3 linked regions of the Solanum lycopersicum genome follow. The protein of the gene in region 3 binds, or shares a complex with, the protein of the main gene of each other region. Links are inferred from orthologs where the notes say so. Each region holds a gene or a part of one and is shown on either strand. Other genes may lie near its edges.

The links. The genes of interacting proteins can lie anywhere in the genome.
Region 1: the proteins of signal recognition particle 43 kDa protein, chloroplastic (region 3) and inner membrane protein PPF-1, chloroplastic are in contact, whole or in part, in a crystal structure (PDB 5E4W), measured with the Arabidopsis thaliana proteins. The link is inferred for Solanum lycopersicum from reciprocal best matches to the Arabidopsis thaliana genes CAO and ALB3. Residues at the interface, in NP_566101.1 of Arabidopsis thaliana: Asp273, Glu274, Asp312, Tyr313, Gly316, Leu317, Glu318, Tyr319, Ala320, Val321, Ala322, Trp343, Asp345, Met346, Thr350, Glu352, Asn356, Asp358; in NP_180446.1 of Arabidopsis thaliana: Lys454, Arg455, Ser456, Lys457, Arg458, Lys459, Arg460, Thr461.
Region 2: the proteins of signal recognition particle 43 kDa protein, chloroplastic (region 3) and signal recognition particle 54 kDa protein, chloroplastic are in contact, whole or in part, in an NMR structure (PDB 2HUG), measured with the Arabidopsis thaliana proteins. The link is inferred for Solanum lycopersicum from reciprocal best matches to the Arabidopsis thaliana genes CAO and CPSRP54. Residues at the interface, in NP_566101.1 of Arabidopsis thaliana: Glu268, Tyr269, Ala270, Glu271, Val272, Lys283, Val289, Trp291, Glu298, Trp299, Val300, Lys301, His304, Val305, Ala306, Val309; in NP_196014.1 of Arabidopsis thaliana: Pro532, Gly533, Thr534, Ala535, Arg536, Arg537, Arg539, Lys540, Ala541, Asp542, Ser543.

What each region holds. Positions count from the first base shown.
Region 1 is NC_090810.1:57,205,605-57,209,876, forward strand, and holds the start of inner membrane protein PPF-1, chloroplastic, read left to right. Parts: upstream 1-1,472; 5' UTR 1,473-1,644; coding exon 1,645-1,968; intron 1,969-2,892; coding exon 2,893-3,003; intron 3,004-3,250; coding exon 3,251-3,325; intron 3,326-3,733; coding exon 3,734-3,794; intron 3,795-4,272. UniProt on the Arabidopsis thaliana protein: Required for the insertion of some light harvesting chlorophyll-binding proteins (LHCP) into the chloroplast thylakoid membrane.
Region 2 is NC_090808.1:3,907,497-3,911,796, reverse strand, and holds the start of signal recognition particle 54 kDa protein, chloroplastic, read left to right. Parts: upstream 1-1,500; 5' UTR 1,501-1,579; coding exon 1,580-1,744; intron 1,745-1,819; coding exon 1,820-1,949; intron 1,950-3,083; exon of another isoform or gene 3,084-3,566; coding exon 3,567-3,634; intron 3,635-3,707; coding exon 3,708-3,809; intron 3,810-3,951; coding exon 3,952-4,104; intron 4,105-4,300. Other genes in the region: putative pentatricopeptide repeat-containing protein At3g11460, mitochondrial, read right to left, coding at 1-730.
Region 3 is NC_090801.1:66,170,889-66,173,919, reverse strand, and holds signal recognition particle 43 kDa protein, chloroplastic, read right to left. Parts: upstream 1,718-3,031; coding exon 611-1,717; 3' UTR 501-610; downstream 1-500.

The DNA of each region.
Region 1 (4,272 bases), on a different chromosome or scaffold from region 3:
ATATCACCTTGGGAATACATATCCATGATAAGGATAAGTTTATGATAAGCTTAATGGACAATCCATTTAATTCAATATATCTATAACAAGGGAAAGGAGTCAAATATGCCCTTAAACTATTCGAAAAGGTCTAGATTTATCCTCGATTTAAAGTTTGGTTCACTCATGCCCTCGCCGTCCAACTTTTGGTCCAAATATTCCCTTATGGGCGTTAGTTGTCATTTTCGACCCATAAATCAACTCCTTTAAAATTCACTATCCAACCCATTTTTAACAATTTTATTTAATTTTTATTTTTTTGGTAAATCCCGAAAAAATAATTGATTAATAAAAAATACGAAAAATATGTAAAAATATAAAACTAACGCAAAAAATTCACAAATAAATATAGTAACCTTAAATCTAACATTTTAATATTTTTTTAAATTTTTTTATTTTTTCGGTAAATCTCAAAAATGAGAAATTGACTAATAAAAAATATAAAAAGTATGAAAAAAATATAAATTAACGTCAAAAGTTCACAAATAAATATAGTATTCATTCTATAACTTTTCTAAAAAATTTCGGCAAATCCCGAAAATGAATAATTTATTAATAAAAAGCGAAAAATATGAAAACAAAATAAAAAATTTACGTCAAAATTCACAAATAAATTTAGTAACCTTAAATTCAATAATTTCAACAATTTTTTTGTTTTATATTTTTTCATATTTTCCTATTCTTTATTTGTGAATTTTTTGCGTAGTTTTTCTTCTTCTTATTTTTTGTTAATAACTCATTTTTGGGATTTGCCGAAAAATTTTAAAAATAAAAAAATATTGAAATTATTTAATTTAAGGTTACTGTATTTATTTTTTAATTTTTGGCGTTAATTTTATATTTTTTTCATATTTTTTATTAATCAATTGCTCATTTCAGGATTTATCAAAAAAAATAAAAAAAATTTAAAAAAGTGTTTAAGTTGATTTAAGGTTACTATAATTATTTGTGAATTTTTGGCGTTAATTATATATTTTTTTCATATTCTTCCTATTTTTTAATTAATCAATTACTCATTTTTAGAATTTATCGAAAAAAATAAAAATTAAACAAAATTGTTAAAATTGGTCGGATAATTTATTTAAAAGGTGGTTGATTTATGGGTTGAATTAGGTGTTTATGAGTCCGAATACCTTTTCATTTTATATAAATATCATGTGGTAAGGTCAAAATGACATGTCAATTACATGTGACATTTAAAAGAAATGAAAAATAAGTTGGATATGTCCAACATAACAACTAACGCCCATAAAACATATTTGGACCAAAAGTTGGATGGCAAAGGCATGAGTGAACCAAACTTTAAACGGAGGATATATCTAAATATTTTTAAATAGTTTAGGGGCATATTCCTTTTCCCTTATAATAATAAATACATTTTTTTTTAAAAAAAAAAAGAAAAATTAGTAGTTGTGGAGTAACCACAACGAAATACCAAACAAAATAACGGAATTTTAATAAGAAAAAAATGGATAGGGATATTTTTTCTCTTCTAATAGCTCTCCTGCCACTCATCCAATCCACAAATTTCCCTCTCTTCCATGAGAAGCTGAATTGAACTCTTCCCATTTTTCTCCGTTCATCCCCGCCGGAGCAATTTTTCCCATGGCGAAAACCTTAATTTCATCTCCATCATCGTTCATCGGAACTCCTTTGCCGTCGCTTTCTCGCCATGTATTTCACCGGCGAAGACTTATCTCTACTAGAGTGAAATTCAGCTTCCATGACCTTCCTCCGATTCACTCGCTTCACTCTAATTTTGATTTTGAAGCTGTTGTAAGCCGAGCGGAGGGACTTCTCTACACGTTAGCTGATGCTGCCGTCGCGGCTGATCCTGGTGTTGCTCCCGATGTTACTGCTGCCGGTACTGCTCAGAAAAGTGGTGGTTGGTTTGCTTTCATTTCTGACGCCATGGAAGTTGTGTTGAAGGTTAAATTTTGTAACACATACTTTTGAACTAATTATGATCATTGTTACGGTCTTTTGGATTTTATATAAGTTGGGCATATTCATAATAATGATTTCACTTGCTTCCTTGTGTCGTTATTTCATGTTTATATAACCTTTTAAGTTTCATATTAGGAATGAGAAGTTAGGAGAGGTGAAATACTTGAGGGAAGACGTAGATGTCCTAGTGAGAAGGTGTGAGCGGTTGGCAATAGCAGGCATTAGGAGAGATAGAGGCAGGCCGAAGAAGTATAGGGACCTAGTATTGTTTGACATCATGTTTCCTACTAAGATTTTGTCTAGCTACTAAACTTTTATGAACACTTTATCCGGATAGTTGTTGTTTGTGTTTACAGTTATTACTCTTGCCTTATACAGGTGTTCTATTTTTCTCCTCATTTGCGCCTTTATTCATTAAAGTCTACACTTTATTTATGCGTTGCAGTTAAAGTTCTAACAAACTTGAGGGTATGTTTCTTTTAAATGTATTTTTGCTTTTCACCTTTGGTAACACTTGAAGTAAACTAAACTTTTTTTTTGAATTTTTTTTCTACCTATTGAAAGACTTATCTATTAACTTTTGTCATCTTTCATATTAGTATAAGTCGACAACCAGATTTCCCCCTTATCATACCATCCACTATCCTCCTCCCCTTCTGTCTTTCCTCCCAATAAAGAAAAAGGAAATTAGTGGATGCTGAAGAAACCTTATCAAGATTATCATAGGACGACAGGTTGGTTATCTTCAATAGATCACATGGAGAAGTACAAGTACTGAAGCTTATTTTGTTTCAGTTCTAGATGCATTATTTTTTGGTTTTAGTTTTAAAAGACCTTCTTTTTGCAATACTGATACTATTATGCCTCATGTACTCTATATTCACTCATTCACTTCGGTCTTTTCAGGTGATGAAGGATGGACTGCAAGCTGTGCATGTGCCTTATTCCTATGGATTCGCAATCATATTGCTTACTCTCCTGGTTAAAGCTGCCACTTTCCCTTTGACAAAGCAACAGGTGAGTCTGTGATAAAGCTGCTGCTAGGCCTGGATGTTTTAGAGTTGGTCTGGTATTTCAGGTCTTGGCACTTAGTTAAGTCTATCTGGTATTATTAATAGTGCAATGGGATGAGAACTTAAATTAATATAACTGATTGTTTTGTCAAACTCAAGTCAACAGGAGTCCCTGTTCCTTTCTTCCTCATTAATTGTTAAATCACTGCAATGGAGTTATTGCTGATGTATGACATTATGTCATTTGAAAGGTTGAATCAACTTTAGCAATGCAAAATCTCCAACCAAAGATCAAAGCTATTCAACAAAGATATGCTGGAAATCAGGTGCACTCAAATTCATGTTGATTGATACTTTCTATTTCATCTTAACTTCTTTTCAGAACTATATGACTTTCCAAATTTGACCTATGTATGTGTATTCTTTGGTACTTAGTGCTGTAAAAAAGAGTGAAGTATGAGCAGATTGATACTGTAACTGTTACAACTTGCTTGTTAGATTTCAGCTTAATATGGGTACTTCAGAGTTTTTTTACTTTGTGTGGCCATAGTATTACTTCTCTTATCAAAAGAGAAAAGGACATTGCTTATGGTGATAAAAAAACTTGTTCAATAAAAGGAAAGGTGTTTCTAATGTTGTGAAGCTATACTAACAGAATTTTGATTGTTGTTGTGTCCTTTTCCGTGAGGTGTTTAGAAAACAAACTTACATTTTTTATCTTATCTTTCATTCAGGAGAGAATCCAACTTGAGACTTCACGTTTATATAAGCAGGCAGGGGTCAATCCTCTTGCAGGTAAGTTTTCATTGTTGCAGTCAGCGGTCTCTTCTCTAGTTATGCTTCCATTTGCTATTTCTGTTTGATCTACTTACTTGGTTTAAAGCATTGGGCATATATGTTATAAGAAACTTGCCATGGCTTTCTTTCCTAGCTAGTAGTGAAGCACAAATTATATCTCCTGGAGTTGTAAGAGCCATTTATCAGTTAAAGAATTAGTTATATGTTGATCCATAGTTTGTCCTTCTGTGGTCTAGGTTTTGCATTTTTAGTCTTATTTGAGTACATCTTAGAACTGGTTGCCTGGTGATATTCTTCCTTCCATAATTTGTTTGATCTGGATTTCAGTTTTATTCCTTGTCAATCTCTGGTTGTCTGTGGCATATGAAGTTGTCATTAAGTTAGTTCCTCATTCATAACTTTCATTTTATCAACTCCCTTTTGCCTTGTTTTTTGGTGTGTAAGTCTGATAATTTATTCCGTCGAAGCAGCACAA
Region 2 (4,300 bases), on a different chromosome or scaffold from region 3:
CATTCCAAGTGATCAATCCCTTTTCTGGTATATGATCAAACAACTTCCTCGCTAACTCCATACACGCACAACGCACATACATTGTCAACAGGCAATTTGCAACAGCCAAATCATTCACCAATCCGCACTTAACATTCAAACAATGCAACGACATCCCCAACCACAGATACCGCGAAGCAGTACAACCTGGAACCAATCCCAAAACAGTAACCGCATTAAACAACACTCCTCTCAACCTCATTTCATCAAACAACAAAAACCCATTCAAGAAATTACCATTCTGAACATACCCAGAAATCAAAGCATTGTAACAAACAGTAATATTTCTTTGAGGCATTTCATCAAACACTTTCTGTGCAAACTCAGTTAACTTACATCTACAGTACATAGACATCAATGCAGTTTGAACAAAAGGCTCATACTCACAACCCAACTTGATAACATGACAATGAAGTTGTTTTCCGGTAATAGGAAGGGAGAGTGAAGCTGAAGATTTGAGAGCAAAAGGGAAAGTGAAGGCATTTGGGGTAGCTCCAGATTGAAGCATTTGACGGTAAAGAACGAGTGCTTCTTTGTACTGACCATGTTTTGAGAGATTTCTCAAATGGGTATTCCATGGAGTAGCAGCATTAGTAGTAAAGCTTGAAGCTTTGGTGAAAATGGTGGATTTGATAGTATGGAAAAGTGACAAGAATTTGGTGTTTTTGTGAAGGTGGAGATGTTCGGTCATTTATTTAGACAAAAAAGGGGTGAATCATTGCTTTAATGCATTTTTATATAACGTATTATCTGTTTTAGCTTAACGAATCTCATGAAATATTTTCTCAACCTATGTTATTATCGAGTCTAAAAACTTGCATGCATACACAATGGTCCGTTGAGGCGAGACATGTTCATAAGCGCGTTTCTCCTGATAAAATAGAAGGATAGTCGGTGTTGAAGCTCTGCTCTTCTTTGGATCTCAAGAAAGTGAGCGAATTTTAGTTTCTACGAAAGCATTTATATCTTCAGATGTGGTATAAGACTTCTGGTTCACGTAGGATTGAGATTTGAGACTGAGTCGCCTGATGGCTCAATGGAATTTCTTCTTCGAAGCAATCCCAGTCGTGCCATCCTCATAGATTTAGTTTTCGCTAAAATTTGTCCTACAATTTTAAATACATTTATGAGGTAGCTTGAGCAAAATTCACAAGAAAAACATGAATTTGAGCCGTGATAAATACTCTAACGATTGATTTAACGAATATATATATTTAAGTGTTCGACACAACAAAGACATAAGAATGTTAAATATAGAGGTTACAAATAGCAAAAAAAATTTTTTGAGTATATATCTATTTTTTTAGATTATATTTTGACGTCACTTAATAAGAATCATTCCGACGTTAAAAATAAAAATAAGTTGATGGAGTAGGATATTACGATAGCCTGCGATGCACAGAATACTGTAAAAATCCCCCTAGTAGATAGACCATAGATTACATTTTTGTTTTTTTTTCTAATGGATAAAGCATAAAAGAAGAAGAAAAAAGCTTCAATTTTTGCTTCTTCTTTTGATTGTTTGTTCTTTAATCCTACCATGGAAGCCACTGCTTCTTTCACTTCAACTATGGCTTCTCACCATTTCTTTCCACTTTCTAAAGCCACCCTTTCATCTTCTAAACTTAATCCCACTTGTAATTCTTCTTCTTCTTGGATTGGTTCTACTCATTCTCTTTCATTTTCTTCAAGAAATTCATTTACTGTAAGACCCTTTTGGATTTTGGTTAGTTTTTTTTTTTTTTTGTAGTTTTTGGTTAAAGATTGAATTTTTATGTAGAGGGATACATGGAGGGTGATCAATTCCAAGAATGTGGTAAGAAGGGAAATGAGTGGAGTTATTAGAGCTGAGATGTTTGGGCAGCTCACTAGCGGATTGGAAAATGCTTGGAACAAGCTCAAAGGAGAAGGTAAAAGCAAAAAAAATACTCTTTTTTAAATTTAAAAATGAGCTAGTTTTATGTGAAAATTTGAAGTATGGGAGCTTGAATTGTTAATCTTGAGTAGGTACATGTTAGAGTGTGTTAGAGTCGCATGTTGGTTGGTTGGGAATGGACCGGTGGTCTGTTATGTGGACTTGGACGATCCTCTCTTCGTGAGCTAACGTTTTGAGGTTGAGTTAGGCGTAAGTGTCATATCTTTATATGCTATCGTAGCTACTTAGCTAGGTTCATACCTGTTTGGACTCCCGGTTTATGCTCTAGTTAGGCATGAGGTGTTAAAGTGGGTTATAGTCCCAAATCAGTTTATATGGATTGGGTAATCCTTCCGTCGTGAGCTAGTTTTTGGAGTTAGGCCCGGGTGTCATATCTGGACTGTTTTGAAAGGGAACTGAAAATCGATACCTTGGATAGGGATGATAGTTCAAAAATATGACTTCAAGAACAATGTCTTCTTGTTTTTTCATATTCAGGATAATATCTTAAGATAATTCATTAGTACATCAGAGGTGTTTATTTGATGTCATCACAATTTCAGTTAAAGTAAATGCCTTTGCTAAGTAAAGGCTGTGAGATAAGATAGGAGTGAACTAAAGCTTCTTCAAAATGTGGCATGTAGTCATCCAAGGGTCATATCAATCTTGGTGAATGAGTTCAGCAAGACTTACAAAAAAAAATATAAAAACCTGGAATCGATCCTTAAATAGGAATTAAGTCTCATTTTACAAGATTTTAACATGCTGAAATACAAAATAAACACAACCTGGAATAGATCCTTAATTAGGAATTACGTCTCATATCCAAGATTTTAACATACATCAGAGCTGAAAATGTATCAGTGAGGAGTTCCTTTATGGATGTTGAGGCTTCGGAGATAGAGTGGGACAGGAAATCCCAGTATTTTATGCCCAAGCCAATTGATTCTTGAAGTGGTAAGTAGTTGAGCTAACCTTCTGCTATGAGAATGTTTTAGTGGAAATGTGGGCTGTCAGGACGGGGTGATGTGGAGATAGAAGCTATATAAGTTGGAACATGAAGCTTAATGTCTAGACTTAAATCCCGCGTGTTTAGAGGATTCAACAACATGACTGATTTCATTTTCAGGGTGGATGATGAGTTGTCGTAGATGGTAATATTGATCCATTCGAGGAGGTGCCAGATGGGGTATAATGAATTATACTTCAAGAGAAGAAACCGGGAAGATGTATAATTGATTGTTAAACTCCAATGAAGTGTATGGAAAGGGAAGGGGCCTTGCTACTATAAGGTTTTAAATGCAAAGAGTACAACATATTAACAACTATGGCCTATGGGTCATTGGATTTCTATAACAGGGATATACTTCTCCTTTTTAGTTCCATACATTATTGCTGGATATTATAAAGTTGTAGGAATAAATTAATTGGAGAGTATTTTACTGTTAAAAATGTGACTTGTCTGCCTTGTCCAAATTCAAATTTCTAATCATATTTTCTATATCCTCAATCTTTCAAATTTTAGAGGTTGAAGTTCTTATTGCCCTTGTTACTAAATATGTGGTTATATATAATGATAAAGTGGCTGTTGTTTGAATTCCTTGTGCCTCAGAGGTTTTGACCAAGGAAAACATCGTGGAACCTATGAGGGACATCAGGAGGGCTCTTTTAGAAGCTGATGTATGTTGCTTACTGTTTCAACAACTAATCTCTATACATAAAATTTCGCCGCTTATTTAACTTTAATCGGCAGGTTAGTCTCCCAGTTGTCAGAAGGTTTGTTCAGTCTGTTAGTGAAGAAGCCGTTGGCACTGGTTTGATTCGAGGTGTAAAACCAGATCAGCAACTAGTTAAGGTATGTATTTTTGAACTGATGACTCTGAACAATACACATTTGTACATTGATAACAGACGGTCACCCTTCTGTTGTTAATTGCTTGCACAATTTGCTATCAGCTCGATCTGAACATTTTCTTTGTCTCATTTGGTTGGTGTAGACTGTACGTGACGAGCTTGTGAAACTGATGGGTGGAGAGGTTTCTGAACTGGTTTTTGCTAAATCTAAGCCCACCGTAATACTATTGGCCGGTCTACAAGGTGTTGGGAAGACAACTGTTAGTGCAAAGTTAGCTTTATATCTAAAGAAGCAGGTGGACTTCCAAACTTCACCTTCTCCCTTTCCTGACCTTCCTTTACTTTCTCTCACTCCCCTCTCTCTTGCTCATTCTATTGCAATTTACATATATGGTCGTAGAACCTGCATTTCTCCAAGTGCCTTCTAATATTAGCATTTTCCCTTTTTCTCATTCTATTGTCAAACCATTTATGGGCACTGGTGGCATGGTC
Region 3 (3,031 bases):
TACAAAACAACAGAAAACATCATCCATACAACCTCGAATAGGAGTACTCCCTCAAATAGGGATAGCTTCAGGTACTAATATTAGATTGGTAAAAGCTATCAGCCAGCCAGACATCAAAACCTAACTCAACAATACAAGTCTGCTAAAACTCTCAGCTTCAGACTGCGTACTCAGAAGTCAGAATTCTAACACCACTACGGCTTCAGACATGGATGAATCCGCAGTGGCACATTTTGCAAAAGTAATTCACAACTACCACCACCTTTTCACTTAAAACTATCTCCTAGAATCTTCTTCATGACCCTTCAGAGGGTTTTCACTTCATTCAACAAAGATATCAATTCAATTGTTAAAAACATCCACCTTTACAGAGGATTCGGACAATCACCAATAGAACGTAATATTTGATTGGTTAGTATCATTTAAGAATTAAGATATGCTAAAGGGTGATCTTCAATTTTCCAGATTTGGATCACTAAAAGGAAATTATCCTCAACCTGTTAGACAACCTCAGAATTACATACATTACCACAACTATAGTTTATAAAACAAAAGAGCATTATATTACCACAGAAAAAGAAAAATACAAGCCAAAAGAGAAACCATGAATTCAACTTACTACTTTCTGTTGACCTTTTTCAAAATCTTCTATCAGAAGGGGGTCAACATTTTCTTCTGGTTCCCAAGTAGCCTCCTCAATATCAGTCCATTTAACCAAGTACTCGCCTTTCCCGTTGTCACCCTCTCTCTTCTCCAAGATGCACTCTGCCTCTGCATATTCCAATCCAGCCTCAAAATCTCTCACCAAATCCTCAGATATCAGCCATGCTTTAACCCATTCATTATCCTCCCCATCCTTCCATTTCACTAAATACTCAACATTTTCACCTTTTCCTCTCTTCTCCAATATCTCCTCCACTTGTGCATACTCAAAAATTGCATCCTCCAATACCCTAATCACATTCTCTAATCCCAATCTCCTCGCGAATTGCATTGGGTTTCCTTTAGGTGTTTGATTCAAGACCATCCTCGCTAAGCTCAGCGGCGTCTGCCCTCTGTAATCTTGCACCTCGGGGTCTGCGCCGAGCTCAATTAACAGCTTAGCGACTCCAGGCTTCACATATCCTGCAGCCATATGCAGAGCCGTCAAACCGCCGCTCCTGTCGCGGTAATTGACGTCGGCGCCGGCTTCAGCGAGCAGCTTGACGCAAGGCTCCGACCCGAGTCCCGAAACAAAGAGCAAAGCCGTTCGTCCATCGTCATCAACAGCATCCACATCTCTGTCGTCCTCGGCTTCAATAAGTTCCCGAAGAGCCGATTCATCTGACTTTTTCGCAGCGTTCCACCAAGGGGTTTCATACTCAGCGACAACATCTTGTGCGATGAAATTAGAGGGAACCCAGGTAGGGGCATGTTCATCTTTCCACTCAATCAAATACTCCATTCCTTTCCCACCTTCAATTGCTCGACTCCCAATGATTTTGTTAACTTCTCCATACGTTTCGTCGGCATCGTAATCTTCAAATTCTTCTTGTGCTACTTCTTCGGCTGCTGATTGTTGTTGGTGTTGGTTCTGAAGCGTGGCAAATACAAGTGGTAAATTAAGTTTTTTAAGTGGGAGATAAGAGTGATGGGGCAGGGGAGAGAATGTAGGAAATTGAGAAGAGAATTTGAGTTTGAGTCGGGAGAGAGATGAATTGACAAAGAGAGCATCCATTGGAGAAGTGGGAAAGAGATTTGGTGGCGCTCTTTCTTTTGAATGGCCATGAACATCTCCATAATCCTATGAGATGGATGCCTTTAGGATAAGATATTATATCTATTCACTTCACTAAATCAATCAATTCGAGTTCTAGATATGAAGTATTATTATTTTAAGGGATAATGTCCAAGTACTCCCTTAATCTATGTTCGAAATTTCAGAGACACACTTATACTATACTAAGGTCCTATTACCCCTGAACTTATTTTATTAATAATTTTTTACCACTTTTTAGCTTACGTGGCACTATTTTGTGGGCCCAATGATGATTGACTTTTTTTTTGAACTAGTGCCACGTAGGCTAAAAAGGGGTAGAAAATTACATATACAATAAGTTCAAGAGGTAATAGGACCTTAGTAGTATAAGTGTGTCTCTGAGATTTCGGGCATAAGTTGAAAGGGTACTTGGGCATCTTCTCTTATTTTAAATAAATTTTGTGTATTAAATTTAGTTGTGCTTCAAACACAACTGAAAAAACAAAAGAAGAACTGCTGTAAGGCATGTTCAAATGATCAAAGATTGCAATTACAATTGTGATGGAGCGATAAATTATTTTTTAAAAAATATTTCTTGAATTCAAGCGTTCTGTTACTATATGAATTTAAAATTAATTTAATGATAAAAAACAAAATAAAAATAGTCAAAAAGTTCTTTACCATAAATGTTGTATTTTTTTTTTGTCAATATATATTTAATCTGCTAATGTACATAAATATTTTAATTCACTATGTTTCTATTTAATCAACTTATGTTTATGTTCATAATGTTAGTAATTTTTATGTTTTGGGTGAGAGAATCTTGGAAAAGAATGGCATCGGACATTTAAAATCATATAAACTTTTTTTTAAAAAAATTATTTATATCAAATTAATTTAATTTTTATTATTATATTAATAAATTAAAACACATATTAATTAATTAAAAATAACTAAAATGAACTATACATTTTCACCTCTTAAAGCTGATTTTGTAGATTTTGTGTTATACGTACTTGTATGAAATTCAACCAATTACATCACGTCAACGCAAAAGTGAAAGAAAAGGGCTATAGAAAAAAAATTAAATATTCATCTTAAATTTTCAACGATTCAATTACTTTGAACAATAAAAAATTCTCAAATATTCTGTTAATATGAAATAGAAAAAGTACCTAATAAAGAAAAATAATTAATAATTAATGTTGAGAAAATTATGAAATAACAAACTATTAATTCAAATTAAATACAATAGTAATAATTTCTTTAATTTGTAATCAGCAGCAAAACGTT